Linked DNA regions of Xenopus tropicalis. The protein of the gene in region 5 purifies or fractionates together with the protein of the main gene of each other region. This does not show direct contact. Links are inferred from orthologs where the notes say so. Each region holds a gene or a part of one and is shown on either strand. Other genes may lie near its edges. The genes, in order: peak1, map4k5, edc4, asap1, crk, nedd9 and dock5.

The links.
Region 1: the proteins of crk (region 5) and peak1 purify together in Homo sapiens (affinity purification with mass spectrometry; 4 studies listed by BioGRID and IntAct, with this or other methods). This does not show direct contact. The link is inferred for Xenopus tropicalis from reciprocal best matches to the Homo sapiens genes CRK and PEAK1.
Region 2: the proteins of crk (region 5) and map4k5 purify together in Homo sapiens (affinity purification with mass spectrometry; 4 studies listed by BioGRID and IntAct, with this or other methods). This does not show direct contact. The link is inferred for Xenopus tropicalis from reciprocal best matches to the Homo sapiens genes CRK and MAP4K5.
Region 3: the proteins of crk (region 5) and edc4 purify together in Homo sapiens (affinity purification with mass spectrometry; 3 studies listed by BioGRID and IntAct, with this or other methods). This does not show direct contact. The link is inferred for Xenopus tropicalis from reciprocal best matches to the Homo sapiens genes CRK and EDC4.
Region 4: the proteins of crk (region 5) and asap1 purify together in Homo sapiens (affinity purification with mass spectrometry; 3 studies listed by BioGRID and IntAct, with this or other methods). This does not show direct contact. The link is inferred for Xenopus tropicalis from reciprocal best matches to the Homo sapiens genes CRK and ASAP1.
Region 6: the proteins of crk (region 5) and nedd9 purify together in Homo sapiens (affinity purification with western blotting; 3 studies listed by BioGRID). This does not show direct contact. The link is inferred for Xenopus tropicalis from reciprocal best matches to the Homo sapiens genes CRK and NEDD9.
Region 7: the proteins of crk (region 5) and dock5 purify together in Homo sapiens (affinity purification with mass spectrometry; 3 studies listed by BioGRID and IntAct, with this or other methods). This does not show direct contact. The link is inferred for Xenopus tropicalis from reciprocal best matches to the Homo sapiens genes CRK and DOCK5.

What each region holds. Positions count from the first base shown.
Region 1 is NC_030679.2:92,898,773-92,903,556, forward strand, and holds the start of peak1 (inactive tyrosine-protein kinase PEAK1), read right to left. Parts: upstream 3,038-4,784; 5' UTR 2,931-3,037; intron 2,842-2,930; 5' UTR 2,343-2,841; intron 1-2,342. UniProt on the Homo sapiens protein: Probable catalytically inactive kinase. Scaffolding protein that regulates the cytoskeleton to control cell spreading and migration by modulating focal adhesion dynamics. Acts as a scaffold for mediating EGFR signaling.
Region 2 is NC_030684.2:92,952,337-92,956,456, forward strand, and holds part of map4k5 (mitogen-activated protein kinase kinase kinase kinase 5), read right to left. Parts: intron 1,764-4,120; coding exon 1,685-1,763; intron 1,099-1,684; coding exon 1,040-1,098; intron 26-1,039; coding exon 1-25. UniProt on the Homo sapiens protein: May play a role in the response to environmental stress. Appears to act upstream of the JUN N-terminal pathway.
Region 3 is NC_030680.2:41,311,657-41,316,465, reverse strand, and holds the start of edc4 (enhancer of mRNA-decapping protein 4), read right to left. Parts: upstream 2,915-4,809; 5' UTR 2,853-2,914; coding exon 2,777-2,852; intron 1-2,776. UniProt on the Homo sapiens protein: In the process of mRNA degradation, seems to play a role in mRNA decapping. Component of a complex containing DCP2 and DCP1A which functions in decapping of ARE-containing mRNAs. Promotes complex formation between DCP1A and DCP2.
Region 4 is NC_030682.2:142,077,117-142,081,236, forward strand, and holds part of asap1 (arf-GAP with SH3 domain, ANK repeat and PH domain-containing protein 1), read right to left. Parts: intron 3,224-4,120; coding exon 3,154-3,223; intron 2,986-3,153; coding exon 2,927-2,985; intron 2,638-2,926; coding exon 2,135-2,637; intron 1,986-2,134; coding exon 1,863-1,985; intron 1,180-1,862; coding exon 1,105-1,179; 3' UTR 1-1,104. UniProt on the Homo sapiens protein: Possesses phosphatidylinositol 4,5-bisphosphate-dependent GTPase-activating protein activity for ARF1 (ADP ribosylation factor 1) and ARF5 and a lesser activity towards ARF6.
Region 5 is NC_030678.2:46,102,514-46,107,255, forward strand, and holds the start of crk (adapter molecule crk), read right to left. Parts: upstream 3,089-4,742; 5' UTR 2,961-3,088; coding exon 2,741-2,960; intron 1-2,740. UniProt on the Homo sapiens protein: Involved in cell branching and adhesion mediated by BCAR1-CRK-RAPGEF1 signaling and activation of RAP1.
Region 6 is NC_030682.2:90,770,256-90,774,375, reverse strand, and holds part of nedd9 (enhancer of filamentation 1), read left to right. Parts: intron 1-811; coding exon 812-910; intron 911-1,754; coding exon 1,755-1,847; intron 1,848-2,029; coding exon 2,030-3,172; intron 3,173-4,120. UniProt on the Homo sapiens protein: Scaffolding protein which plays a central coordinating role for tyrosine-kinase-based signaling related to cell adhesion. As a focal adhesion protein, plays a role in embryonic fibroblast migration.
Region 7 is NC_030679.2:127,714,044-127,718,163, reverse strand, and holds part of dock5 (dedicator of cytokinesis protein 5), read right to left. Parts: intron 3,876-4,120; coding exon 3,786-3,875; intron 3,665-3,785; coding exon 3,564-3,664; intron 2,783-3,563; coding exon 2,648-2,782; intron 2,446-2,647; coding exon 2,334-2,445; intron 2,252-2,333; coding exon 2,181-2,251; intron 1,785-2,180; coding exon 1,678-1,784; intron 1,410-1,677; coding exon 1,273-1,409; intron 1,065-1,272; coding exon 969-1,064; intron 667-968; coding exon 568-666; intron 458-567; coding exon 363-457; intron 199-362; coding exon 120-198; intron 1-119. UniProt on the Homo sapiens protein: Guanine nucleotide exchange factor (GEF) for Rho and Rac. GEF proteins activate small GTPases by exchanging bound GDP for free GTP. Along with DOCK1, mediates CRK/CRKL regulation of epithelial and endothelial cell spreading and migration on type IV collagen.

The DNA.
Region 1 (4,784 bases), on a different chromosome or scaffold from region 5:
ATATGCAATGCAGGCTGCACTTCCATCAGAGAATGCTAAGATTAGAACTAAGCTTCATGTACAGTGTCAGTACCAACTGCCAAACTCCCCCTCGACTAATTCCATGCCAAATAATTCATTTCACAGAACAGGTATAGGAGCAGCAGAAGTGCCAACCACCCCCACATTATCTATCCACTGAATACAGGGCCCCCTGCCAGTACCCCTTTTTCATACATACACAGCACTGCCAATGCTCCAAAGAAATCCAGCTGGGGTTGCTAAATATATACAGTACAACTTTAATTTTACATCCCCTGATTTAACGTTTTCCTGCATTTTACACCATTGTTTTGTGGTCCCACTAATATATAACACATAATAAACTTCCCTGATCTTACATTTTCCCAAGTTTTGCACCATCTTTTTCTGGTCCCTTCAAAAAATTAAAATGGGGGTTCTACTGTATTTCCATTGGTTTTCCTATTTGATTTGCAGGTTGAATGTTACTATTTGGCTACTCAATATTTGGGGGTTTGGTTTGGAAATAATCCTGACTGTCTAAACTCTGCGCTCACCCCCACCCCACATGCTATTTCTTCTGCTCCAGCCTTCACTGTCATACCAGGCTTGCAGCCTCAGCTATTCTCTGCTACCTGTTTCCGTCCATGGAGGAAGGAAGACATTAAAGGTCTGGACACAGAGAGTGACCCTTAGACATTAATGACCTGCCTCTGAGTCACACATGGGTGTGAGGCAGCATTCCCCTGGGAGAGGCCTACCAAACATCACTATTAACCCCTTTTTATTCTACAAGTCATTGTTCCATTTATTTCATGTTGCTTAGTCAATTTAGTCAATGAACATCATAAGTAATGGAAATGAATATGCATAAACCTTCAGCATGATAACTTTCTACTAAAGACCCACACACTCCTCTTATGTTCCGTATGCAAACTTTATATTTTTCATATACATCACAACAGGAAAGCATGCTGCCCTCCAATTAGTATTGAACTACAACTCCCAGAATCCTGGCCAGCCAAATCACTGGTTGCTTTTGCCTGATATGCATGAAGGATTTGATTTAAAAACATAGGTACTAAATTGCTTCAGCGCAAGTATCTACTTAACAAATCAGATCTCTGCTTTCATTTCCTAACTATAGTAAGACTGTGTGAAGCTAATTCAAGATTGGTTGCTATTGGCAACTAACCACTCCAGTGCAATTTACCACTTACAGTATATTAGTAAATGGGCCCTGAAGTATGACACTAACAGGCCAACGTATGAAACTATTTTCCAGGGATCCTTATATCTGTGTGAGTTAATGTACCACACTTCCCCCTAACTCATTACTAACCCTTAATGGCCACCATGAGAACGATTATTTATGTCATAGGCACCCTATCTCCATAAGTATAGGTTACAAACCTTATAGCTGGAACTAACAACTTATTATCTGGCCAAAACATCATTCAAATACATATGTGCAGTTGGTCAGTTTGAAAACACCTAGGCATTTCCAAGGATAATGTTAAAAACAGGTGTTAGCCTTGGAAATGTGGGGACGCTTGGCAGCTATGCAGGATAAGGAATAAACCCGTGAGCTGTTATTTTTCTAGCGGTTGCCCCTGACTTCCTCTTTATACACAGAGCTCAGTGATGCATATACAGCACAAATACAGTGTACTCAGTGGGCCTTTGTAGCGGATACAGAGAAAGCTGGTGTGTGTGTGGGTAACAGGCTGCTGCATTCCTGTGTGTGTGGCTCCTTGTAGCGGCTTTGACAGAAGCCAGCATCTGCCTGTGACAGCGGCCGGAGAGCAAACAGCATGTGTGCACGTATAGATGCGCCAGGGCAGCAGCATGGGCTCCAACATGTGTGTGCCTTCCAGTTTCAGGGCCATCCCTTCTGCTTGTCGGGCCTGGGAAGAGTTACAGGAATGCTCGGTATGTCTGGGGGGGGGGGGGGGGGGGGGGTCAGTCTGGGAGCAGGGAAAGTATGTGCTATTTACAGGACATAATGGGGGGAGGAGGAACACAGCCCAGTTAGAAACCCGTGCAGCACCCACTGCTTAACTCTACTCGGCCAATATCCGCAGCGCATTGCCCCTTCATTCCCTTCCCTACTGCTCCGTCCCGGGATAGCCACGTTAACCCCGCGATCGCCAGAGCGCAAAGCCTAGCACTGTTTCTTTCTTTTCCCAGAATACATCTACCCAAGATTATTCCTTAGCAGCCAAAGCATGTCCAATCTGTGGTCTGTAACCAGTTCTGTGCCAGGAACCCATTCAGCATCCCCACATCGGCAGCGCACATTCGTACACATTAATATAAGAAATGGCCATTTTAGTACTCACCAGAATGTGATGGGTCTGGTAGATCTTCTCCTGGCGAAGGGAGAGTTAAGCGGAGCAATCAGCAGCAGTGTATATGTGTGACAGGTCTGAGTGTGTGATTCAGCCCGGTGACTGTCACTTCTATCTGTGTGTATGAGACAGCGCTGTGTCTGAATGTGACATAACCGTGTGTCAGAGCTGTCTGAATGTGACAGACCTGCTTGTGTGTGACATCTGCGTGTATGTCAGGCTGCTCTCTGAGCCTTCCTGATGGATGTAGGTGCCGGCCTGTGGCACTGATGCTAGTGTATCTGTATATGCATTGTGTGGGGTGCAGTCGCAGATCTGTGCGGCGTTCCTGTGTGTGATCTGTGCATGTGTGTGTGTTAGCTGGCCTGCTGTCTGTGTCTGAGAGCCAGCGTGTGCGTGTGTGCGTGTGTGTGTGTGTGTGTGTAAGTGTGTCCGTCTCTCCCTCTCCCCCTACAGGGAGCCTGAAGAGCAGCAGCAGGCAAATTATTTCCTGAAAAAGGAAGGCATTGCTTTCACATATACACACTCAAAGCGCACACAATGCACGGATATACAAAGTGAATGCGTAATAACACACACCCTGGCAGGAATATAGCGGGCACCGCCAAACAAATCATATAGTTACGAGGAATGAAGAAAGAGACAGCTTATTTAGTGTGGCTTCCAAGGGCCGCAGTGAGTGCAAGGCTGAAAGCCGAGGGATTGGGGTGGAGGTACAGCCCCTTTATGGTGAACCTCTGTGTAAGGGGCTCCTAGCAAGTCAGCTGTGCGCGCTTTCCTCTAGCCTGGCATGGTCTGTGCTTATATTGCTTGGAAATGAACCAGAGCTGCTCCTTTTCTTCCTATGCTATTCACATTCTGAGCACCCACAAAGATACCATCCACTGCTATTGCTATACATCCCACACTGAATTGTTCAGTTGAGGATTACACTGCACCTTCATTTTTCTACTTCTATCTATTAAATACATTTTCTTTTCATTTTCAGATGTTAATTTTGCTAAGATACTAGGGCACTCATCCTGTAGCTTTGCCTAAGGCTTGACTAGACAATCAGGGAACCATCAGGGTTCCCCATTGCAAAGGGGACCCCAAGATATGTTAAAGTGTGATTTCCAGGCCATAAAGGTATACAACAAACGGATCATACTGTGAGCCTACAGAGACCCACCAGGCATCAGGGCATTGATGCAGTTTTTGCCCTGTAGCTGAATATTGGTCAGGCAACTCTTAGGAGGGCACCATACATGGGCTGATAGGCTTATAGCCTGGGCCGAAGGGGTCAGCAGCCTTTATTTGCGCCTGCATAGCTAACTTAAAGCAATAGTGAAATGTTATGATTTTAACAAAAAGTGTCACTATTCTTCTATAAGTCTAGATATTTGCCAAGATTTTTTGTAATTCTGGCCCTCTGCCTTCCCTCAGCTACCTACATACTAACATTTTTCCACCAAAGAAACAGCTTTGCCTTCTCAATGACACAGTGCTTGAGGGCGGGGAAATGTTCTTATAGGTTGGGGCCCTTTATATTTTTGTCCTCCAGCCTACAAGAATGTTGATAAGAAGTCTGAGTGATGCTTGCATGAACCCTGTTTTCCAAGGCTGTAGTAACAGATACTTGGGATCATTTGGGAATAAATATACAAATTCATATATGTAAAAAGAATGAAGAAAAATAATGAATACAAAAAATAAAAGTGATAGTGTCCAGGGCTGCTTTAAAGGGTTAGTTCACCTTCAACTTTTAGTATGTTATAGAATGGTCAATTTTTGGCAATGTTTTAATTGGTCTTAATTTTTTTATAGTTTTTAAATTATTATCCTGTGTGAGGCTACAATGTTATTGTTACTTTTTATTACTTATCTTTCTATTCAGGTTCTCTACTGCTCATATTCAAGTCTTTTTTTAAAATCATTGCTCGGTTGCTAGGGTAACTTGGACCCTAGCAACCAGACAGCTTCCAAAATTCCCAACTGGAAAGCTGCTGAACAAAAAACAAAATAATTCAAAAACCACAATTCATAAAAAGACCAATTGCAAACTGTCTCATAATATTACTTTCTACATCATACTTAAATTTACTTTTAAGGTGAACAATCTCTTTAGAGCACTGCTAGGCCCAGGGCAAATACCCTGCTTGAGGACACCGTTGCTGACAGAATTTTTTAACCAGCCCAATACATTTCTGTCTAAATGCCCATTTATGAAACAATAAGCTGCTAACTTGGTATGTAGGGTTGAAGTTTGCTGCTTATATTTGGCCTCCTAAACAATTAATTAACACAACTTGTCTTGCAGGTCCTGTGTGCTCTAGGGGAATAAGGAAGAGCACCCAGCTTAATCATGGCTTCCATGGTTAGTGCTATGTGTTGCCTGCATCCATGCAAGGATGAATCACATTGCGATTAATAGAACACCACAAAAAATAAGAA
Region 2 (4,120 bases), on a different chromosome or scaffold from region 5:
CAAAATCATTCTCTCTGCTGCAACCCTAAAATAAAAACAAGTAGAATAGACTGCTGCATGATCCTGCGGGTATTTGTCTGCAAAAGTATTAAAAAAAAAAAAAAAGGCCAGAACTTCATTCCCTTTCACATTAAGCATCAATTGCATCTTTTATTTAGAACCCCTGTGGTTCAGAATTGACTGAGTTGCACAGATATGAAGAAACGTTATTTGTGTGTTTTTGCAGCATTCTGTGAGTTTACAAATAAAAAAGGGCATCGTCTGTATGTCTATGTCAGATGCTGAGCATGAGTTATATGAAAGCCTTTTTTTGTATGCAAACATGTCAATCCACTCATCTGAAAATATCTGACCCATAGCTCAATCAAAGGTAAACAATTACATGTGCCATACCTCAGTTCGTAAGATTATTTATAGAAAGCAGTCATGCAAAATGTCAGCCACATGATTAATTGTGGTTTTGTTATAAACTCAGACAACTTTTTATGTAATTTAGCCGGTCACTGTTCAGGGTATAAACTAACAGTCATACAGCTATTACATCTACAGCTACTATACCAGCTTTCATAAAAAGCAGATAGCAGTGACTTTAGCAACTACAAAAGCAGATCAATTATAAGTCTAAATTATTTGTTATAATTTTAGAAGTTACAGGAAAAGGCTGCAACATTGTTAGCATTAGTTTGTGTATAGTGCTGCACTCAAAATATTAATGCATGTAAAAGCAGAAACACACATTTGATTGCAACAGTCTTTAGGAAAACTTTGGACAAAAACAAATGGAACTACTGGCAGCTGCTTCATATCCTTTTTCATGGAAAGGTAGACAGGATGTCTGGCTTCCTTATAATGCTTTCTCCTAGGAATTATATGGCAAGTGATTTCCACAGAACAGGGTATAAAATCTGCATCACTAAATAATAAAGGATGTTTTTGGCATAGGTTCATTTACGGTGATGACAATGAATAGTGGTTTAAGTCACTGCCACCACAATAAATGAAACATATTATATATACGTATTAGGTTTGCCATACTTACCATTCCTTCATTGGCTTCAGTCTCTTTTCTTAAAGGTGGCTCAAACTGCAGTTTGTCAACTATGAAGAGAAAAGGAGTTACCAAAGACCAGATGTAGACTCACCAAGCAGTCATTTACTTACATGAGGTAAAGAGATACGGACATAGTAAAGGTCTGACTCCGCAATGCCATTAAAAAAGTGGACAGCAATCAAAAATCTATGCTTTTTTTTAAAAAAAAATAATTCTTAAGAAATCATATGCTAGGATGTAATACAAAATAATTCATTACTTTGTGTCTGTAAATCTTTAATCTGATATTTGCCTTAAAAATAGGTGGTAATCTACAATAGAGACAAGCATGCCTTAAGAAGATTATCCCAGGATGTTATGAATAATCTGCATTCTTATAGTTCCAATCCCCCTCCTTACTGCACAAGCGTTCTTTTTAAAACATGTTTTGCTTGTAATGATTTATGTAGCTGACATGAGTGGGCAGAATACATTATAGTTAAATACGATGAAAATTTAACCAGAATAAGGAAACTATTATACAAATGTTGTATTGTTCTTCAATGGTTTAGGAAGCACTTCTTCAAAAGTGGTTTAGAGCAACTGAACAGTCAAAGTTTGATAATACCATTGCAGTTCTGCAACAAGACTTACAATTTAGTTCCGAGGCTGTCCTCTCAGCTCTTGCAGCTTTGCTTGTAGAACGGATGGTATGTCGAACCATGGAAAGAGGCTGCAAGAAAAATTGAAATATTTCTTAGTGTAGTGAGAAATTCTATGCAGTTTTATTGTTTAATGCCTAGCACAGCCACACACACACACAGCCACACACACACACTCCAACTGAATTACAGCAGAAGGATTCTCACTTCTGCTACACATTTGAGATAATTTATGCAATTATTACTAATATTAAACATTAACTATTTTATAGAAAAGTGCCTGCACAACTTTAAAAGACTATTCTTTTTTCTTTACATATTACGTCTTGCCCTTCCTCTTTACTATATACAGGCATTGTAAGGGCACTATAGTAAAACCCCAATTTTACATACCCTGATTTTAAGTTTTCCCACATTTCATATCTTACCAGATGAATACGTTGTAGAGGTTCTGCCAGTAACTAGTCAGTTGCAATGAGTCTGCCCCTCATACAGTCATGCACAAATCACTTAATGCTTTTGGTTGTGCATCTGAGAGTGAGGTCTTGCACATGCCACTCCATTGTGTAACATTAATGCTGCACTGCTTACCCCTTATCATTAATACAGTGAATATTCTATTTCAAAGTAAAACTGACTCCTGTGCTTATATCCTTTGAGTACTTAAAAAATAATGCTTTAACATCACATCACATCTCTCTGATTTAAAATTTTTCCTGATTTTACAGTATTTTTTCCTGGTCCCACTGTGTTTTTGGTTAAATAAAATGGTTATGTACCCACATGGTGAAACACTGAATGTGACACCATTTCTGATGTTTAAACAATTAGAGACATTGAGGGACAACCAGAAATGTATTACAAGAAATTTACAGCATTCATAAATACAGGTAGTTCAGTTACTTTGGGTTTTTGCTATGGTTACTAAAGGTCCATTCAGATGGATACGTCACACTTTTGTATGCAGCCACCCTGATATACATCTGATAAAAGTAAGTAATCTATGTTCTCTTTAAGTTTTAAGAGCTTGTGTTGAATAATTAATATTACAGACTTCACATGTAAAAATCAAGTTTATGTTTAACTGCCCTCTAAAACACTTCAAACACCTGTGTACAGTATACCATAAAAAAACAATATTTCCACTGATAATTGCTATTAAAAGCAAATTAAACAACCCAAGAATGGAGCTGCTATTAGGTTCAATGGGGAAGCCAAGTCTATTCAGTCAGTTACGAGGGTGGTCCAACACAGACCTCTAGATGTTAAGATGGCCATACAGGTTAAGATTTTTAAAAGATCTTTTAGTTATCTAAGGACCAAGCTGATCCTGAAATGATTGTTTAAAAATATGATTTGTCCTTCAACGAAAACTACCATTTCAAGTGACATGGTCTAGTTGAAGCTAGGAAAACTAGGAAAACTACCTACTTGGTCCTGCAAACAATTGGACAATGGGCAAATTTCATTGCTAACAACGAAAATTTTGGAACCCGCTCAATCAATTTTCTGACCGATGTCAGATGAAAAATTGCTAGATGTGCGATCGTTCATTGCCCAGTAACCTATTATTTATGATAATTTGACAGATTCTTAGAATCGCACTAAAATTGGTTGTTAGGGAGAGAAAAATCTTAACATGTATGGCCGCCTTGAATCTGTAATATTTTAAATGACTATACCCAAATGCACTGCCTAAGAAGGAGCCAACAAGATTAATTTCCTTCCTTGGATTTTAGTAACCGCTACCTAGGACCAAGGCCAAGTACCGTATATACTCGAGTATAAGCCGAGTTTTTCAGCACTGAAAACGTGCTGAAAAAGGAACCCTCGGCTTATACTCGAGTAATCCGGCATTCGTCTCGCGCCACCCCATGCATGTACACGGACACACGTGCGCATGTACGGGAACTTACACATGCACGCGGGTGTGGTGGATGCCGGATTCGCTCTACCTGATGTGAGTGTGATGGATGCAATGCTGCTATTGACTTGGGGGCTCCGTCTACTCAGGTACTTACACATCGACTAGGGCACTTACACATGCACGGGGGGGGGGGGGGGGGGGAGGATGCCGGATGCGCTGCCGGATGTGCGGGTCCCGGATGCGCTGCTGCTATTGCCTGACTCAGGGGCTCCGTCTAACTAACTGACGTGGCCCCGTTGCTGGGTCATAAGTGAATGGGGTGAGTAGTTCATGGCCACCTTAACTTTCTTACATTTCTTTGTTTATCATTTAATGTGCATAAATAATCAAAGAAGATTCTTTGCTTCTGTCCTACAGACTTGCCTTGCTGCCATAAACATTAAACAAATCCCTCCATAATGGACAATGAAACAAAACCCATCCCATACCTCGTAAAAGGATTACATTGCAAGGAAATACAAACCTTCACACAGCCACAATCTCATGTTCATATTGTCACAA
Region 3 (4,809 bases), on a different chromosome or scaffold from region 5:
CAAATAATTCCAAAGAATCCACTCCCGGAGCAGCGATTTTGGCCACGGACTACTTATCAATAAAACTTGTTTATCTATTTTAAACATTTTAGTTATTTTACTTTTTTTTTCCAGTGATTATACTTGTATTGTTGTTCAAAAACTCAAGTTAAAGGGTTAGGGTAAATTGTTTGTCTTTCAAGACTTTTGCATCCAGCTCATCAAAAGGTTACAAAAGGTTGTAAGATTTTTTTTTACCCACTCTGGCTTTGCCTGTGTTTGAAAAGTTATTTAAGTAAAATACAGTATTATTTAAGTAAACTATCTGTGCAGTGTGATATAGCTGGCAACTTTTTTTTTTTTTTTTATAAAACTGTGACAACTTTGTTTTGACATTTCCCACTGAATGCGCCTATTGAATAGATTTCTGCATTATGTATGCCGTCTGCTTGATCAGTTGAAAAAATTAGCAAATGCTGCTTATGTACTTATGCACTAGCAGAGCCAAAATTCCAATTAAAAAATTGGAAATTACATCTCTTGAAATTACCAGTTGTAGCTTTTTGCTGCCCCTGGTAACTTGCAGGCTGCTGTCACACATGGCAGCAGCACCCCTGGGTAACCTACATGCTAGTGGTAGCACTGGTAATTGTATGGAAGTACATTAGTTCATAAGGTCACACTGTATGTGGCTTCCTAAAAGTTGTTCTATAATAACTCCTTCTTGGTAATTATTTACTGAAACAATGTCTACTCATCAGCTTGACACATTTTACAACCAACACCTGCCATACATGTCCACTGAAACCCTACCCCAACGCCTTTTACACTTGCCCATTCTGGTTCCACCCTGGTCATTCCCTATCTCCATTGGCATATGTCGAGACCCTGTCTCAGTTCCCCTGTTCTTCTCATACCATGTTTCTAGAAAATTCAATATAGCTGTTTGGATTTCAATTAAATCTTTATCCTGAAGCCACCTGGATCTTTTCATGCACGGGGACTTAAACAGTTTGTTTTTGTTTCAAAAACATCAAGCCTCTGCGTACAGTGGCCTGAATAACTCAGGGCTCTGCCTTGTGTGTTATTTCATGTTACCACAAATCATTCATTTCGACACAGAATGAAATTAGGGATCAGCCTCCCAAATAAAGACGTGCTTTACCAGCTTATTTGTCCTTCTTTTAACTTTCTCTAATTCAATAATATTCTACTTTAGCACTTGAGACCAAAACAGCACTGCATTTTCTTCTAGATAGGAACTGTTTGTAAAGAAAAATTATCCACTCCTCCCATGAATGTATGCCCTTTTAATAAAACTCAAAACCTTGTTTGCCCTTGCAGCTGCTGACTGGCATTGCTTGCTGCAGCCAAGTTTCTACAATCCCTTTAGGCCCTTCACCATTATGGATTTGTCTAACACAGTCCCATTGAATGTATAAGTTGCTTGTATATTTTATATCCCAGGTGCAAACACTGAATCTCATCTGCCACTTAGCCACCCAGTTTGCAGAGATCCTGCTGAAAAAGAGGTCACATCCTGTATGGAATTAATTGACCTACAAAGTTTTGTGCCCCCTCATAAGTAATTAATGAACAAATTAAAAAAATAGTTTTTACAGAACCCTATGGGAGCCCACTAAAACCCTCACTGTACACAATGCTTTAGCCAGTTTCCTATGTATAAACAACACTATACAGTCATGGGACCGGTTCTCCAGAATGCTTGGGACCTGGAATTTTCCAAGGTTTTCTGTAATTGGGTTCACCAAACCTTAAGTCTACCAATAAATCATTTAAACGTTAAATAAACACAATGGTATTGATTTGCCACCACTAAGGCTAGATTATATTTTAGTTGGGATCAAGCAACATTATTACGGAGTACAAGGAAACCATTTTTAAAAATGTGATTTGTTTTTTGTTGATTAAAATGCATTCTAGAGATGGGCTTCTTTTAATTAAACTTTCTGCATTACGGGTTTACTGATAACAGATCCCATACCTGTATTATGAAAAATAAGACCTTTATTCAATTTGCAGGTATTCAGAGCCACACAGTTACAGGTATACTTAGAAAGCTGATGTACTAAAAAACAAAATGTGGCTTTTCTAACTAGAATTAAATATTTACCCTCAGGTATCCTCTAAAGTTAAAAACAAAAATGTTGAACAATTGAATGGCTGTTTAGTGCACACACTTATCAAATATTTGCTGGCACTAAAAAAGTTAAACCATGAAGTTTATGTTTGGTCCTCTTTTGTTCCTAAGTCAAATTCCAAGATATAGCCATCTAGCAAATTAGGGTGACAAGTACATTTCTCAGTTTCTATTCTTCACAGTAAAACTGTTCTTTAATCACTTCTGCTTTTTCCAGAATTATCAGGTGGCAAAACGTTAGACATGGCCACCATTCCCCCTTCCACTGATTACAAAATCAAACTCCTCCAACTTATCCTTAGGCAGAAAAAATGAATTAGTACTACTCAGAACAAAAGTTTTGCTATACAGGCATTTGTGATTTCTCTTACACGAAGGAAAACTATGAGCGAAAAAGTGGTCTCAGTTCCGTAACGAAGTGAAAAACATTACAGAGTACATTGATTTTGTATCTATTTAATCAACCACTAGCACGTAGCTACCAATTACTGCCTAAAACTGGCCGTTCATACTGTTAATAAATGTTAACTATTATAGTGTTCGCCACACTGCGCATCTTCCTCCCGCTCTTTAAACTTGGTTTTCCTTCCACTGACGTACCAAGTCATTCTGCCAAAATACTCCTACCAAGCTTACCTTCAGGTCGGTCTAGTTTTAAGATATCCCTTAGATGCTGAGTCGCGTCCACGTCAATACTGGTAACTGAAGCCATACTCTATAATACGCTAAAATCTTATTTCGTTCCCCTCTCTCACCAGACTCAAAAGCACAAATAACTACCTCTACTTCCGCTCCGTTGCGTTCTTAATTCCCATCTTCCTCTCGGAAACAAGAACAGTTGCATGAAGGTTCCTGGGCGTACTATTTACAACCAATGAAGTTTCGCATACGCTAACCATAGTTTATATAGATATGGGATTAATTATATTCCGGGTGCACGTGTTTTAATAAATATGTTTATATATTTTTTATCATTATTCCTCCCGATCTAGTCTTGGCAAATACGCCACAGATTAGGTACATTCTAGCTCTAGCTAGAGTATGTTATTTCGACGCTAGAAATTGGTCTCAATCATGTAACGTAATATATAGGGGTGCTTAAGTATACCAATAATTTTATGTTTTAAGTACGTTCATACAGCAGAAATTATTTAACTACAATTAGCCCCATTTATTATCAAACAATTTCATTTTTACACAAGCTTATATGGTGGTTTGTTGCTTTTTGCCACATTAAAAGTATTTCTGTTTATTATTTTTATTATAATGCCTGGGGCACACACCATTGGCTCCTGCTCCCTTCTGCATCTCCTGTATCTGCCCTGAAAAGTATAGCTTATATTAAATCTGATCTGACATTTAACTGCTCCGAATGCCAGTTTGTCACATACCAGATGGAATTAATTGGGCTGCATAGTTTTGTGTCATCCTGCCCTTAAAGGAGAACTATACCCCCAGGCGCAAAAAGCCCCCTTAGCTATCACTGCCTAGACCCCCCTCACCTCTTCCTTATCACATAGTTTTTAAATTTAAACTCTGTTCCTATCGCTAACCGCTACCTAAAAATGCAGAGTAGCGCAGCAGCGAACCTGGCCGACATCATGTTAGCAACTGAAGACTCTTTGGGTCTCACCGCCGACACGGACCCTGCTTGCGCATGCACAGTTGAAGCTGATTTTCCTGCTACCACCAACTGCACATGCGCAAGCAGGTTCATATCGGCAGAGAGACTCAGAGTCTACAGTTGCTAAGATGTCAGCCAGTTACGCGGCTGCGCTACTCTGCATTTTTAGCTAGCGGTTAGCGATAGGGACAGCGTTTAAACGTAACAACTATGTGATAAGGGAGAGGTGAGGGGGTTCTAGGCAATAATAGTTAAGGTGCTTTTTGTGCCCTGGGGTATAGTTCTCCTTTAACATGAGACTTTGTATTCTCACGCGTTTTCATGCGTATATCGGCTACATGTGCCTGCACCCGAGCGTATTCCATTCATTCGGGTGCAGGCACAAGAATCAGGTGTAGGGCTGAATTTTCGCCAAGCGTTTTTTCCGCTTGCCGAAAATATCATCCCTACGCCTTGTGTGGCATCAGCCTAAGAGCCCATACCTTGTGCACTTTTACCTTCCAATTTGTGCCTGTTTATTACCTGACCTCTTAGAGTCCCTCTACAGAGCAGGGACCTTCTTCCAACTGTGACTCATACCACATGGCACTTAATTTCTGTGTATTTATACTTATTTATTGTTTTTATTATAACACTTGTCCTCCCTGTGTGTAATTGTGTAAGATTGTACAGCGTTTCATATCCTTGTAACGCTTTATAACTAAAATTATACATACATACATAAATACATACATACATCTCCAAACACTGGTACATTACTCACAATACCCTCCCCTAACAAGTTGAATAAAAGTGTAACAAATACAGAACCCTGAGGGTACCCATTAACCCCCATATGTGAAAAAAAGCACTAAGTTTGCCCAGTTGCAGTAACCCATAGCAACCAACAAGATGTTTGCTTTTAAACAGGTGCCCAGTAAATGCTTCCATCTCGTTGGCTATGGGTTACTGCTCCTGGGCAAACTTAGTGCATTTTATTACATACAATTACATAACCCCTTAACCCATAACCCTTAAGAACCTTACTCTGAGTAGAGAATGTATC
Region 4 (4,120 bases), on a different chromosome or scaffold from region 5:
ACTAAAAAGCTACCACAGATCGCTCCACTAACGATGATTAGAAATCACGCGATTGGCCGGGTATGGCGGCGCAGGACGGGGTGCCGCCTCCTACCTACCGCGGCCACCGGAGACTTTCTCCAGCTTGAATCGCATTCTGTTACCAATAAGCTTCTCTATCACTAGCCATATACATAAAAGTCACCCTACTTTTTATAATTTATGGTACAGATTAAATTATATACAAAATAAAGGAAATGCTAATTGTACATAACCGCGGTACTAATGATATTTATTACTGAGAGAGGGCTCGACGCCATATTTAACACTGTCTGTTCCATGTGGCTATTCACATGGGGGGGAAAAAATAGAATCTCTGCGATGGCCCGTGACTCCCCCCGTTGGCCCCATTTAGGGCTACAATGAAATTCCTGTTTCCGTAAAGGCAGGTTCAAGTATGCCGGAATCGGGTAAGAAATGCATGCATAATGTAAACAGACTAATATCGCTCTCATTCGTCTGAGTCCGACCAAACAAACCGCAAATGTCATTTAGAGATATATATATGTGTGTGTGTGAGTGTATATATATATTTATATATGTATATCCTTCTAACAAAAGAAGTCTTTAGATAGAAATATAGCTTTTGTTTTCTGTACTACTTGTAGCAAAGTAACGGCATGGAGGCGGCCAATGACAGGGAACAGACACAGGGCACATTAATACCATCAATAATTAAAATCTACGTGGAATTCTGCCATTGATACAATAAATACCTAGAGTCACTGGTTGTGTTCATACAGGGGGGGGGCTTGTTGGCAGGTCCGGGCAATGGAGAAGCGGTTTCCCCGGCAGATATATAGTGTTGAACGGAGACAGCCCAGATGGGGAATGTTGGCAGGGATGGATCACAGCTTGCCCAGAGGCCACGGACGGCTTCCAAGTGTCCCCCTTGGGCTACTGTAATACTGGCAAAGGCAGAAGGACGTTGTACACTGACAATACACATATAGAGTTCAGCACAAGATGAAGGTTTGGGATGAAATGGACTGTGTAACAGCAGCTTATATACACAGAGTGGAGCACAGAGCGGATTGCAGCGGGGGGGCAGATATGCTTTGCTTATTATTCAGTCAACAGGTGGACGAAGGACACAGGGAATACTCCTTTCCTGTCCGGGAAGCCTTCGATGTGCCCAATCTGCAGTAAATACACAAAATGAGATGATTAATAGACAATCACAAATACGGACATAATTAGCAAACTGCTTTCAGCTAAACAATTGTTTCTCCTACTCCCATGTAACTGGTGGAGTCCCAAGCCGGACTTGGATTTCTTTTTATTGAGTGCTATTCTGATACCTACTGGGAGCTGCTATCTTGCTCCCTTCCCATTGTTCTGCTGATCGGCTGCTGGGGGTGAGAAGGGGGGGGGGGGGGGATATCACTCCAACTTGCAGTGCAGCAGTATAGTGTGCCTGAGTCTGAGCTTTCAGAAGGAGGCAGTGCTACACATTAGAACTGCTTTCAGCTAACCTATTGTTTCTCCTACTCCCATGTAACTGGAGGAGTCCCAAGCCGGACTTGGATTTCTTACTATTGAGTGCTATTCTGATACCTACTGGGAGCTGCTACCTTGCTCCCTTCCCATTGTTCTGCTGATCGGCTGCTGGGGGGGAGGGGGGATAGCACTCCAACTTGCAGCGCAGCAGTAAAGTGTGCCTTAGTCTGAGCTCCCTTCCCATTGTTTTGCTGATTGGCTGTGGTGACTGGTGGTAGTTACAGTGCCAAACCCGTAGCTATTCCTTTAGCCACAGCTTATATACAGCAGTATCATAGAATTATCCCACCCTATAGTGTATCTCATGGTTACAGGATACTCACCCACCACTCCTGGTCCTCCTCTCCAGTGACGATAATCACTTCCCCCTCCGCAAATGTGAGTTCATCATCATTGTCCGCTTGGCAGTCGTATATTGTTTTAACTCGTTTAAGCTTATTCTTCCCCTTTAAAAGAAAAAAAAAAAGTCAGTTTGTTCCGGACAATGATGCTGTTCTAGATCTTCAACCTGGGTTGTAGGGCACCTCATTGCTATGATTATTGATTGTGATTTATCTGCACATTTTACGAAATGCTGACTAAGCACAGAACTTACTGTGTTTATCTTTCGGGGAAGTGGCACGGGTGTTTCTGGAAGAGGCGGTGGGCCATTATTGGAAGTTTCTGGAACTTGCTTCTGGACAGGGGTTTGGTCCGTGGGCTGTGCATTATGGGTCGCATCCACCGGCTGGGAATTTTGATTGGCCTCATTGGTATGAGGTTTGGGGACTATATCCGCAACAGGAGTTTTGCACATCACCTCTGCCAGGTTGGGCTTGGGCGGAAGATCTTTCAGCTGTGGCTTTGGAGGTAAATCTTGCGGTTTCGGGGGCAAATCTCCTAGCTGAGGTTTAGGAGGCAATTCTCCGGGCTTGGGAGGTAGATCTCCGACGTGTGGTTTCTGGGCGATATCCAAAGGCTGCGGTTTCGGAGGAAGATCTGCAATTTGTGGCTTCTGAGGCAGATCTCCAGGCTGGGGAGATTTCTGGAAGATTTCGGGTTGCTGGTTATACTTATCCATTGAGAGATGATGAGTGGTGTCTATTTTCCTAAGTGCCACTTTGGGGACAAACAAAGAAGGATAATGAGACATCTCAGAAACAATCACTGTATAGACAATTAGCCTTTATCCTATTTTACATATGAGTATCACTCATGTATTATAAGGGATAATGTACCCCCTACTGTAAATGATAAGGATATTAGCAGTCACTGAGGGGTTCTGTGCCCATATAAAGGCACAAGGCTGACGGCTGAGTTATATTATAAGGGATAATGTGCCCACACACATTTTACATATAAGACACAGGAAGGAAAGGAGGAGAAGACAAACTGTAGAAAGACTAACCTTTCTGAGGTAGTTTTGGTAGGACTCTTGGGCCTAATGCAGTCTTTGTTGTTCCTGTGCTAAAATAACAAATTAAACATAAAAGTACAAATTATATATATGTTTCCAGGTTCCTCTCCACAAAGAAAAACATTTCCTGCAAAACAAACTGAATTATTCTTCATCTTTTTACTCTCTGACTAAAGTGAATGAGACCCTCAACTTAAAACCAGATGTTAATGACTTACCCTGATGACTGTGACAATCTCTCAAACTTATTTAGAGTTCTGTCTGCAGCACTCGGGCCCAAGTCATTACCTGCCGGAGATAAATATACATAAATAAATATTTTATAAATGTAAAACTGACCACAAAAAGAGTATCAGCCAAAATGGCCTTTAGAGAGGGAATATACAGTATTTATAAGCAGGGGTATCTTACTGAAATGTTTTCTACATGACCTTATCCCCAATAGAGGTGCTAGTTTTATTCCAGCAGTATGGCAGCTTTCATGCTAGTATATTTGTCTACTTAATGACATAGGAATGGGAAGACACCCCTGCAGGTAAATAATGTATATTGTGCCGGCGATTGCCTGAAAGCAAATTTGCAATAAAATAAAGGCCTTAGAGAAGAGAGAGCAGCAAGCTGGAAAAGAAAGACAGAAGAATATCCCAGTGTTTCTGCTGCTGACAATTATTTTAAATAACTACTGCTCCCAGAATCCTTAGCTGAACCGTGCAACTCACAGGAGCCATTGGGCTGCAACATACAGATCGCTGGCTTTAACTGTTTCTCTTTGATTTAGAATGAAAGCAACATAGATACTAACAGATATATACTTTGTGTGTGTGTGTGTGTGTGTATATATATATTCTCCTTCGGGAAGCACTCACGGTATTTGTGAAAAAAAGCGAGTATTTATTTACACAAAAATGTCTACGCGTTTCGATCCATATAGGATCGTCATCAGGACCATATAGGACGTCCTGATGACGATCCTATATGGATCAAAACGCGTAGACATTTTTGTGTAAATAAATACTCGCTTTTTGTCGCAAATACCGTGAGTGCTTTCTGAAGGAGAATATGTTAATTTATGGTTAGCACCCGGTTCTAATTCGCTATTTTGGTGAGTGCCGATTTTGGGACTGTATATATATATATATATATATATATATATATATATACAGTGGTGTGAAAAACTATTTGCCC
Region 5 (4,742 bases):
CTGCTGATATCGGTCGACTCGCCGATCGGCCAGGTCAGAAAATTTTGATTGGGCGCCATAGAAGGCGCCTGAGCAAAATCTGCCGTCAGGGCTGAATCGGCAGAAGGAGGTAGAAATCCTATTGTTTCTACCTCCTTATCTGCTGTTTCAGCCCTGACGGTGTGTGGCGGATCTGGCGATGGTCGCACGAAACATCGCCAGATCGCCACGTGTGTGGCCACCTTAAGCCAAGGCTGTTTAAATGGTCTAGCACTCTAAGGCTATTGTAACACTAGTCATTTTCTCCACCAGGCAAGAAAAAAAAACTGCATGGATTTTAAGAATGCTAATTAAAATATGGTAGAAACATTAAAAATAAAAAAAATGAAGAAAAAGTACTGTATTTTGTATGGGTTCCAGGTAATCCAGTAAAAATATAGTGTAATTTATACTCAAAATGTATACTCAGAATCATTGCAGATGTGTCATGCAAACAAGTAGCACTGGAACACACAATACACACATGTAAAAGTGAAGAGCACAATCTGGTCTTTATTCCCACAACTTAAACCATTGGGTGACAGTGTGAATGTAGTATGTCCTATTCCACATACAATTAACAAAAAAAAAAAAAAAAAAAAAAAAAAAAAAAGAGAGAGAGAGATGGCCCTTCACTACTCTGAAATTGGGCCACACTTGCTAAGAAAATTATCCATGTGTCATGGACAAGCATGAATTGTTTCCACTGTGTGCTAAGGGGACTTTTATAAGCAAAATGATTCATGATTTTACAAATTAACTAAACGTTTCTTATTAAAGTTACGGGATTGGAAGAAACTGTTTTACGAGTTTCAGCAACTGGCCCACAATATTAATTGTATCACTATAAAGAAAATAAACGCTTATCTTTCAGTCCACAACTAAATGACTTTCCCTGCCTGCAGCTGCTTCCTGTAGGTTTGAAGGGAAATGTACTACCAATGGTAGACTCTGGCGCTGCCAGGTCAGGATTGCATGGGTATGCCAGTGATTGTTCCCTATATGGTAGTTCGGGCATTTCTCATATAAAGTGTGTGCCCAGTTCCAAAGTAGTAGCTGCTTAGCGTGCACGAGGGTTTTGTTCCTGAAAGGAATAAGGGTACAAAATGTGCCCAAATTCTTAAAGCACAAATCTGGACAATAAACTCTTTGGTGCTTGGACTTAGATCTTAATAATTGTGCATAAAAGCACAGTGGAAGACCTATATAAACAAATAAGTTGAGTAAAGATGATGTGACAATATAGTTTCCCACAAGCATTGTCCCATAAAATAAGGAACTGTAATACTGGGGAATTCCTCAACACATTTTAATTCCATGGGGGGGGGGGGGGGGGGGCAGAATGAAGCAGCAAAGTTAAATGAAAAACAAGATTTGCGGAACCGACTGATTTGTTTGTTGTAAATTCAAATTTTACCTACGTTTGGCGCAGAGATTTTGCTTGGGGTATGTTGCAATAGTGTCTTTGGAAAAAACAAAGATTGAGCCACAGTGCAATTTTTATTTATTTTTCAGAAAATCAAAGGAAGCCATTCAAAGTGCAACCTAGACTATGAATCAGTGGTTTCTCATTTGCTATCAACACTAAAAGGGATTTTTACGGATGCATTCACCAAATCAAAAGAAAAACCTTTTGTTGGATGTTCCTGTTTAAGGAAGTTGAACACACACTTTGAGGTCAGGTATGCAAACCACTAACACAACTATTTCCTATGAAATCACGGAAAGCCTCTACATAATTGAAATATGAAAAAAAACCAGTCTGCTCACAAACTTACAATTTTAAATCCAACTCCTTGTTTGCACTATAATGACCTGGGAGCAGTTGTCCATTCAGTAAATCTGGAACACAGATGACTATGAGGCCTGGACTGGCAATCTGTCTATTCCAGTGATCCCCAACCAGTGGTTCGTGAGCTACATGCTGCTCCCCAACTCCCAGTGGCCTCAAAGCAGGTGCTTATTTTTTAATTTCTGGTTATGAGGCAAGTTTTGGTTGCATAAAAACCCAGTGTAATGCCAAACAGAGCCTCCTGTAGGCTGCCATTCCACATAGGGGCTACCAAATAGCCAATTATAGCTCTTATTTTCACCCCCAGGAACTTTTTTCATGCTTGTGTTGCTCACCAACACTTTTTCCATTTGAATGTGGCTCACAGGGATAAAAGGTTGGGGATCCCTGGTCTATTCTGTTAAATGCCAGAGGGGCTACTGTGAGTTGCCATAGACAGTCACTATCAAAAATGTTACAAGTTCTGTGTAATTAAAAACCAAAAACTGGGCTACCACTGCGCCCCAACTAAACAGGGATATAACATGGCTCTAATTCTAAGACTCAGTGACAAATGGCATATAATAAGGATGGACTGTGGCTCTCAAACTAATTGCTCACAAGCTCAAATGCCTACAAATGAGTTTAATGCCCCCAGTGCACCCAATACCGGAAAACCTTTGCATGCATTTCATTTTTCTATATTATAAATGTATATCTATATATATCTATATCTATATATATATATACACACACCAGTGTTTAGTCACTATGAGCAGTTTGGATAAGAGAAATAAATGCAAAGGGAATAGGCCCTCGGCTTTCTGCTGTAAGTGCCTGGCAGCTGCGCCTCTACAATTCACTAACACATGCAATGCAAAATATATTCTATTTATCGGTATTAGTGCAGCCGCCCCCACCTCACATGCGCTGCATGTAGCCCCTACTCACCAGTCCCACTCTGCCGGTTGTTGCTGACGCTGTTGATGATATAGTGGGAAACCTTGGAGTTCTCAGAGACAGACAATACGTAGTCACCAGGTATAGTTGTGGAGTCTCGAACTAAAAACACACCGTGCCGCTGGCCCTGCAGAAGATTGACCGCCTCTTGTCTGTTCAGCTTGCCCCAGTACCAGCTCGCCCGGTCCTCGGAGTCGAAGTTGCCCGCCATGGCTTTCCTCCCCCTATGGGCCTCTCCCTAGCGCCCCGGTACTCGATACTACCACCGGCTTAAGGCGGCAAAAGACGCCGCCCCCAAACCAGACGCGGCAACCAGTCTTCTAACTACCGATCCCGACCTCACCAATCCCGAAATGGCGGCACAGGAAAGATCTGACCTCACCTTCCGGAAATGCGTCATTGGAGCAGCGACTATGGAGCGCAGGGGGCGGGTTCTCTTGACAAGTTAGAATTCTGACTTTTAAAAAGCCGTGTTTGTGCTTCTTGCCGACCAAAACTAGTGCGCTCCCATTCGGTAATCAGGCCGCTGGGTGAAATGAGCCGTTTTAATCACGTATTTGTCAGTTTCTATCTTAGGGTAGACTAATCAAAACTAAACTACTGCTGTGATTGGTAACACCAACATTTTACTACTGGCGTAAATGAGCACCACTGTCTCATTTGAGTCTTGGAAGTGAATATTAGATACGTGGTAGGGGAAACCTTTGCACGGAATAAAATACATATATGTATGCCTGTTGTGAACAGTCGCAGGTTTTATCTAGGCAATGGCAAGGTCCAAAGGTCCATTACTCCAAATTGGTGGGGGATCAGGGCCAAGAGCAATATAGATTGTAAGCTCTATGGGGCAGGGACCTCCATCCTCTTGTGTCTTTGACTCTTATTGCAACTGTATTTATCTTGTATCTATCTGTATTTATTGTTATACTTTGTATTTATCTATTATTATCTTAATAATCCCCTGTTTGTATTAATGTATTCTACTGTACAGCGCTGTGTACATAAGTAGCGCTTTATAAATAAAAATATACATACAATGCAATATGTCCAGAGCCAAAGCCACTATTCATCTGTCCCTGATTCTTTATAACTTTATTGTAATAAAATGTATTTTAGGGAATAATGAACCATCTGCTAAAATTAAAGGATGTTAGAAGTCAGCAAAAAGTTTTATGACCTTATGAAAGCAGCAGGCCAATATATAGGGACTCCATCTTACATCCTCATCATGTTATAACAGGGGTTTTTATAATACACAACACAATATACAACAATATCATAATATCAAATTATAAAAAAAAAATCATGGCTCTTATGTAAATACTAAATAGTAAATATTGCCCCCTATGGTAAAATGTAAGGATATTGTAAGTATGCATGTATATCTTTATTTATAAAGCGCTACTTATGTATGCAGCGCTGTACAATAGAATAGATAAATACAAAGTATAACCATAAATACAAGGTACAGTTGCAATAAGTTAAAGGAGACAGATCCTATAAAAATTATGAATGTACCAGTGAATTATACTCCTCTAGATATAGAAGGATTGTGCTTTAAAAAGTTGTGTTTCCTGCTGATCTATTGAGAAATTCCACAAAAACCCCACTAGCCCCGCCCATCCGTTCCACTTCCTGCTGGCTGAATTCTCTGGATGAGCTGGGGAGCCGGTGGCCCTCCCTACACTGCACTATAAGATAGGAACCAATCAGCAGCTAGGCTGACCTGATAGGGAACTGAAGCCTGTCTGTGCTTGTGTGACTGCAGGGTTGTGATTGGCTCTCCCCCTCCTACTGTGCTTCTGGCAGGGACCGTTAGGACACGCCCACTCTTCATTTCACACTGGACGGAGAAGTGATAGGATCTATAGGGAGCTCCAATAAAGGGACCATTGTTACAGATAGGATTAATGTTTAGCCCAAAGGGAAACCAGCACCATATATTATTCATAATTGCCTACAGGGTTAGGGTTTTTTCCATTTATCCAATATG
Region 6 (4,120 bases), on a different chromosome or scaffold from region 5:
GCAGACTTCTGTGTGTATGTGTCTGCTGAGGATATTTAACTCCTAACTTGCCAAGATTAGGTGTAGAAGTAGACCTGTCAAGGTTCAAGACATGATATTATTTAAAGTTACAGGCATGGGTTCTATTATCTTGAATGCTTTGGACCTGGGCTTCTCCATATAAGGGAGTTTGCTGTAATTGGGATCACCATACTTTAAAGGTGGCCATACAAGGGTAGATTTGCTCCTGTATGGGGCCCTCTAACAGGCCTCCCTGACTGATATCTGGGCAAAAATGGGCCAGATGTCTATTGGGCAGGCTTATTTTTTCTGTTGGAACAAGGACCACATTGGCTCATTGATGTGGTCCTCACTTTTTGTATCCCCCTTCATTATAATGCTATCATTTGGCCCAAGGGCCAAACGACTGCAGTAGCACAATATCACCTATCCAAGGTGGCATATTGCCAAACGAGCAAATCTTACTGTGTATGGCCACCTTAAGTAGCTTAGTTATAATCAGGTTAAAGGTGCTTAAAATGGGCACTATAGGAGAAGGCCTTCCTATAATTCAAAGATAATTTGAGATCTATATCCCAAAAAACACCCTATACAGTTATGTATTACTGAGAAGGGTAGGATGTGTTGTATTACTGTATTTTAATTTGTATTTTGTCACCTTGTTTATTAAAATAGTCAACATTTTCAGCCTCATGGAAAATTAACAGTATAATGTGATTTTCATTTTGCATGCAGCTTTTTTCTGTAAGAGAACACATCTGCATCAATTCTGCTTTTCAACTGTTGTGTTCTGTGTATTTACAATCTTTAGGTTAAATGCCAGCCAAGGATGACGCAAGGTTACAGTCATGATTGTACTTCCCGGTGGCAGACAAGCGTCTATGACATTCCTCCTACTCGGCCTCAAGGGGTACGTAGACAATGGATATTTTCAGACTGTTTGAGGTAACCTCGCAGCTGTCCCTAAATATTTTATTGCACTCCCTTAGCATGAAAACACACATGGGGAGCCTGCAGCATTTAAGGTGTTGCTAAACTAACTTTGCCATTATCTTGCCTCAGGCTAATAACGCTTGGAACAAAATTAGTGGGAGGCCCATTTATCAACATCTCATTTTGATTGGTTTTAGAGAAAAAACTAATTTTCTCTAAAACTATAAAGTGATTAACAGCCTTTTAAAAAAAAGCACAAACAAAAAAGACACAAAAAAACACATCTCCCTTGTCGCGGGGCGACTAATCTCCCCGAAATGCCATCCCACCGGCTAGAATATAAATCGCTGGTGGGATAGCATACACGGCCGAAATCGCCACACCGCATATGCCATCCCACCGGCGACTAATCTCCCCATCTGTCACGGCCTTTAGTGTTCTCATATTTGACTGACCCAGAAGATATTCCAAAATATTAGATAGTGTCCTTTAGCGGACTTTTGTAAGAGTGAAAATAATGTAAACTTCTTTGCATGGTCAAGTTACACAGGTTGCTCATTCAGCAAAAGCTAGTAAAACATGGAAGACAAAATAATAAAGGGAAAATAACAATAAACAAACAGTTTTTGATCAAACATACAGCTAGCTGTGCACTTCATGACATAGATCATCGGTTCAGAAAAAAAGCCATTTCGCTCTTCAGTAGAGACGCACTCACTGAAACTCTAAGCATCAATCACAAAAAACATTGTTTAAGTGTCCTTCTTACAGTTACATTTTTATAAAATCTAGAAACCTAATTTTCATTTGTTTTATTGAAGGTGTATGATGTGCCAGCAACTGCGAAAGGTTCAATGTATTCAAGCTCACCCACCAAGGATCAAGGAATTTATGATGTTCCTTCTTCACAAGCGGTAGGTGACAAAGAAACTACGAAGATGCTACACATTCAGTAGTTGTTTTGCAAATAACTTTATTTTGCACTTGAGCTAACTATAAGCATTTATAAGCTGCCCCTTTATCAGTTAATATGTAAAATAATTGTCCTAATTTACTGTTTAATTATGTATAAATATGGGAATGCTTGCATTTTTAGGTCTACAATACCTTACCATCCAACAATGGGAAGATGTATGACTTTCCATCTTCAAGTAAAAAGACAGTAGAACCTACTTATGATGTTCTTCCTCCAAGTTCTACAACCTTTTCCCAGGAGAAAAGCCGCAAAGTGAGCATGGTCGTGTCACCTCCACTAGAAGCTACAAGAAAATCAAGTGTTTATGACTTTCCCCGCAGCCAGCAGACTCAACCTCAAACAGATGATTATGACTTCCCTCGAGGAATTCAGAGTGAAAATTTTGTTTCAGATGGCCAAGACGGAGTATATGACTTTCCCCCACAGGCCTCAGAGAGAAGCAAAGTGGTACAAGACGTAACTGATGGTGTTAATCGCTTGTCTTTCTCAAGCACTGGAAGCACAAGAAGCAATATGTCAACATCTTCCACAACATCTAAGGAGTCATCTGTGACTTCATCTCCTTCCCAAGACCCAAAGTTACTTTTGGATCCAGACACAGCCATAGAAAAACTTTTAAGGTTACAACAAATGGTGGAAGTATCTGTAACTCAGTTAACAGCTTTTGTTAATTCAGAATGGCGCTCTTATACAAACATGGAAAGGCATATCAATGAGATTCATAGTGCTGTAGACCATGTTGAGCAGTCTCTGGGTGAATACCTTCAACTTGCTAAAGGGGCTACAACAAATGCATCTTACTTGCAGGAAAATGGCCTTTATAATAAAATGAGGAGGGAGTTTCAGCGGTTAGATGATTCTCATCATATTCTCACTCAAACATGTCAGGATCTGAACAGTTGTAACTGGTCTATAAATGTGCTTGCTTTCAACAAAGCAAACAACAAATGTGACAGTCTTGAACGTTTTGTCATGGTGGCAAAGACAATCATAGATGATGCCAAGCAACTTACCACCACCATCACTATTAATGCAGAGCTTTTATTTAAGCAGTCAACTACTATTTGCCATAAAAAGAGACCATCGGATTCCATCAGTTTTAGCACAGACTACATGTGCAACATACCTCAGCCTCAGATTATACAAGATGATATACAGAGCAAGATGCTTCCCCACATGTTAAAAGAGCAATCTTCAAAATTCAAAAATCGCGATGGTTCTTTAAAGAGCTGGATGGATGACTATGACTATGTGCATTTACAGGTAAGTCATTAATTTTATATATTGTTGTACATGTAAGCTATTACACTATATTTTGCTGTGCTATAGTAGATTTACTTTATATTGCTTTGGAAATAGTATAAAAGCACTGTTGTCTTTATAAACTGCAGTATATAAATGCCACTATGAGCACCAAAGTGTTAAAAAAAAAAGTGTATTTATTAATTATTATATATTAACTGAAAGTTGAAATCCTCCCTGCCTCCTAAGCAGCAATTAAACATTGTTGTGGGATCAAGACATTACCCAATTTTTTTTTTATCTCTAGATATTCTGCATAACTAAAAAAATATCAATGCATCTTATGGCCAGTATGTACTACATTATACTGTGATTGGGTATATTAAAGAATTGCCTGAACACAAATTAGTATCTAATCAGAACATAGGGGTGGATAAAAGCAAGATGAGAATCAGTCCCGTTTGGCCTTAGCCTAAAGCTGGCCATACACTCACCGATAATATCGTACAAAACCTCGTTCTGTACGATATTTGGTGCGTGTATGGCAACTCGCCGAGGCAACCGATATCGCAGAAGACTGCAGATATCGGTCGACATGCTGATCGGGCACCATTGAAGATACCCGAGCAAAATCTATGTTCAGGGCTGAATTGGCAGAAGGAGGTAGAAATCCTATTGTTTCTACCTCCATATCTGACGATTCAGCCCTGAACGTCAGTGGAGGGTTGGAACGATCTTTCATGCGACCGATGATACATCAGTAAAAGACACTCAACCAAAAGACAGATTAATCCAAAGTGTTGAGTGTTTATATTTATATAGTCATCTCCATGCCAGTTACCTTAGCAAGGTAAATGGAACCCTAGCAACAGTTTAAATTCCAAACAGGAGAGCTGCAGGCAAAAAAATCAAATAAATAAAAACCCAGAATAGCTAATAAATATAAATGTCATATTTCCTTAGAAAACT
Region 7 (4,120 bases), on a different chromosome or scaffold from region 5:
TCCACTGTGACTGCATATTACATACTCCACATACTACTTTAAAATAATTATTCCTTTTGTTCGAATCAGCCCAGCTTCAAAAACTCAATGTCCCCTTTGTGCTGAGAAACTCGTCTCACCTGGAGTTCAAAGCTGCTCTCATCTAGAAACAGTTTGTTCAAAACTGCAGCAAATCTGGTCATGGCTCGGAGAAAAACCCTGCAGGGAAAACATGGTCATTAGATTCCCATTCACATTACTATGTTGAAGGACACAGAAGATCCCAGTCTACATCATAGGAAAGGCAAGAGAGCTACATAATATTGGGTTTAGTGAAAAGCCCAGTAACACAAAAAGGAAATGGGAAGAGTGAGAAAACGAACTTGTTCTGTGTCATTGTCATCAGCATCCAGTCCTTGGGGTAAACTCTCTTCCCAATCAGATCTTTGAAGAGAATAAATGTTTCCATCAGGAAATCCTGGTAAGAATGGGTGAGAGAAAGAGAGAATTAAGTGCTGAGTGGGAATCCAGAAGCCCCTGCATAGCAGAGAGTTGGCCCACTGTATGCAAGTAAGTAGGGGAACTTACAATAATGTCTTGTCGGGTGCGGAACGTGCTGATGTAGTAGTCATAGTGGTAATCATCCATTTGTCTTAGAAGAGCAGTCATACATGCCACAAAACAGCCCTGTGAGTGTGGAAAAGGGGGCAGGGCAGACACAAGGTATCACATATTATTTAGCAATGCCAGGGTCACTCACCAACAGCTTATATAATAGGATAACTGTATCACAAACAGCTAGTATGGCATCCAATCAAGTGCAACCTTGTCATGGTCTCATACCGTGGCATCACTAACATTTCCTGCCCCAGCCTGGCACCCTCATAACCTAGTGCCCCCTACTCCCTGGCTCAACCTGCCCCCCCCCACACTTTTCCTAGCCCACACACCCCTGCCCAAACCAGTAGCCTATACAAACACTGCCTTACTATATGCGGTGACTGTCGGCTCATGCCAATCACTGTCCTATTTATCCTTCGAAGCAGTCGCTCCATGATGAGCTGAATGTGGAGTGATGTTTCCCCCTGGAGAGTAGAGACAGCAGATCAATAATAATATTTTAGAGAGACTAAGGTGAAATTAACATAATAAACACAGTAGGTAGTATGTCCTAAGCCTCCTACTGCTTATTGTCCATTGATCTCTGCCCCCCCATTCAACTGCTGCTGTTGAGTAGATCTGGTTTCCAACCAATCCTGATCTCCTCAGCAATGCTCAGCTCCCTTCACTCACCACCTCCTTGCTCTGCAGGACTTCTATTATGTTGCTCAAGAGATGCCCACAAGCTTCATGGTCAGGTTTGGCATAATTATCATCCAGCTGCCCGCTAAGCTGGTCGATGAGAAGAGGCTGTAGAGCATCTCTGCATTCTGAAGAAACAGTGTAAAAAGAGAAAGTCTTGCTTACTTCTATGGTCTATAAAGTAAATGAAAAGAACACATGTAACGAACTGGCACACCTAATAATAAAATCTAACCTTTATTATTTACTCATTAAAAAGGGTTAAAATTTAAATAGAAAAGCAAGAAAGAAGGAATTTAAAATGAATACCCTTATGGTCTGGCATTAGGATCACAAAAACCACCGTGTTCTAGTATTAGTTGACAACATGCTGGCCGTGCTGGTTTCCATACTGACCTGGCTGCAGGAAGAGATCACTTTCCACCACTTTGCTCATACACGTTAGAGTTTGATGGACGAGTTGGTCTGCGGGGACACTTTGCACAAACTTTGCAAAAAGGACACTGAAACAATGTTTTTATGTTACAATTAGGTTTAGAATGCAGAAAATGAAAGGATATGGGTTTTACTGTAAAATCTATAAATAATAGCACCCTTAACCAAGTTCTTCCTGTTTCACACAAAAAAGTCTGAATCTGAGCGACTGACCACAGGAAAAAAAAATATGAATATATGAATGTAGGAGATGTTGCATGGTTAAAAGATGTATGACCTCTACTATCTGGAGGGTTTATGTAAGAAATGGAGCCTGGACTGTGCCACATGGAGCAATAGTTGAGGAGAGACCACTGTTAAGGTGGTTTTAGGTTATCCATATGGGGCATTTGTTACTTTAAGTCTGTGTATGAGTATACAGTTAAATAATACACTGTTAAGGTGTGATGTGCATTTTATCTTACCTGAGTTCCACTGGGTCGAAGACAGTTTTCAGGTCGTTTATGATCCCAGGCAGGTATTTAAGAGCAGCAGCCTGTAAGACAGTAGGACAGCACTGAGCACATTTGGCCCTGTCTGAGATAGGAAGCTTGGCATCCCTATTATGAGAAACTGACCTTTATCTTCACAGCCTTGTCCAGCGGTCGGTCCATCAGTTCATTCAGAGACAGAAAGAGCTGGCGAATTGAATCGTTGAACTGATCCCGGCCCTCGCCCTGACCATAAAACCTAAAACAGAAAGGTCAAGGGCAAACTGAGAAAAAGATTCCGTGTATCAACAACGATAAGAGCAGAACTGTCCCAACTAGAGGCCCCACAGACCCAAAGTTGACCTTCAAGTAATCTATAGCACCTGTTTAATAGAAATATGGGGGCATTAAAGTGTAAAATGCAGCACAACATGGGCAGACATTGCAGTTATAATCCTTACCTCAGGTACAAGATACGTGATTGGACAATAAATCTGAACAGGTATTTTATGGCTTTGAGGGAAGAGAACAGCATTTCTTGACGGCAGGGATCATCCGCACTTCTCACGTACCAACTAAGGACCTTTATTAACCTCCTAAGAGGGAGGAAAAAGAAGACAAGGTTAATGTTTGCTTTAAGGGATATCAAGAGGAACCTTTATCTAGCCTAGCACAGGGCTGTCCAACCACCCACAATTCTTAGCTAATTCACCACTGTCTGAAGGTCTGTACATAAGATCTAGAACATAAGTCGTCATATTGATGTGGCACTTTGATATTGAGCAAGCCATTTCATATTATTTATAATATATATATATATATATATATATATATATATATATATATATATATATATATATATATATATATATCTCATTAATGAGGCTGGAAACCCAGACACTATTTTAGAAGCTCATCAGCAAATTAAGCCTGGCAAGGTGAACAATCCTTCCACCCCCTAAGTATATGAAGTATGAGTGTGTCAGCCAAGATCACAAAGGGACTAAATGCAGAGATTTACAATCTCTGGGGGGGCTGGAGCAGCACTGGAGTTGCTAAGTAAGAACACCACTTAGGGTAGGATTTGGAAAATATACCAATTTGACATCTTAAATACGCTTAAAACCTACTTTGAAGGTCAATTAGGGTGAGACTTGCGGTGAAACTCTATATGCCATAGGGCAGATATAGAAAGTTCTGTGCATGGAGGCACATCATCTCTATACTATTCCTCCAGACTACATTTGCTTCCTTGCTACAAAGATATCGAACCAAAAGCATCAATAAATTATTCATTAGCTTAAAACATCTTTACAGTAATTAAATCTTTAAATTAAATCTGGCCAACTCACCGCCCAAAAGAACCAACTAACTTACTCATAAGCCAACGTGGTGCTGAAATGCTTTGTGATATACGTCTCTAGGACAGGGTTAAAGTGCTGGAACTTAATATCTGCAATCAGTGATATAATAAACACCTAGAGAAAAGTGAAAGAAAAGAGATACATGAAGAAAAGCAGAATAACAGAGAAAATGGCAAGACAAGGAGGGTACCAAGAGGATAGAATAACATGTAGAAAGCACAGACTGGTAGCTCACCAGGGCATCAAACACAAGAACATCACAGCTCTCCTTGTCTGGGGTCTCCATCATGATGTTAAAAAGAGCATCCAAAGTATCTTGGAGGAACTAAAGGGAAAGAGAGTGGAGATATTGTAGATTGTAAGCTCTTTTGGGCAGGGCCCTCTTCACCTCTTGTATCGGTTACTGATTGCTTTATATGTTACTCTGTATGTCCAATGTATGAAACCCACTTATTGTACAGCGCTGCGGAATATGTTGCCGCTTTATAAATAAATGTTAATAATAATATTATTAAGGGTGAGAACGGGAAGTCAGTCTGCTTATACAGTATATAAGGTATAAAGGCAGAA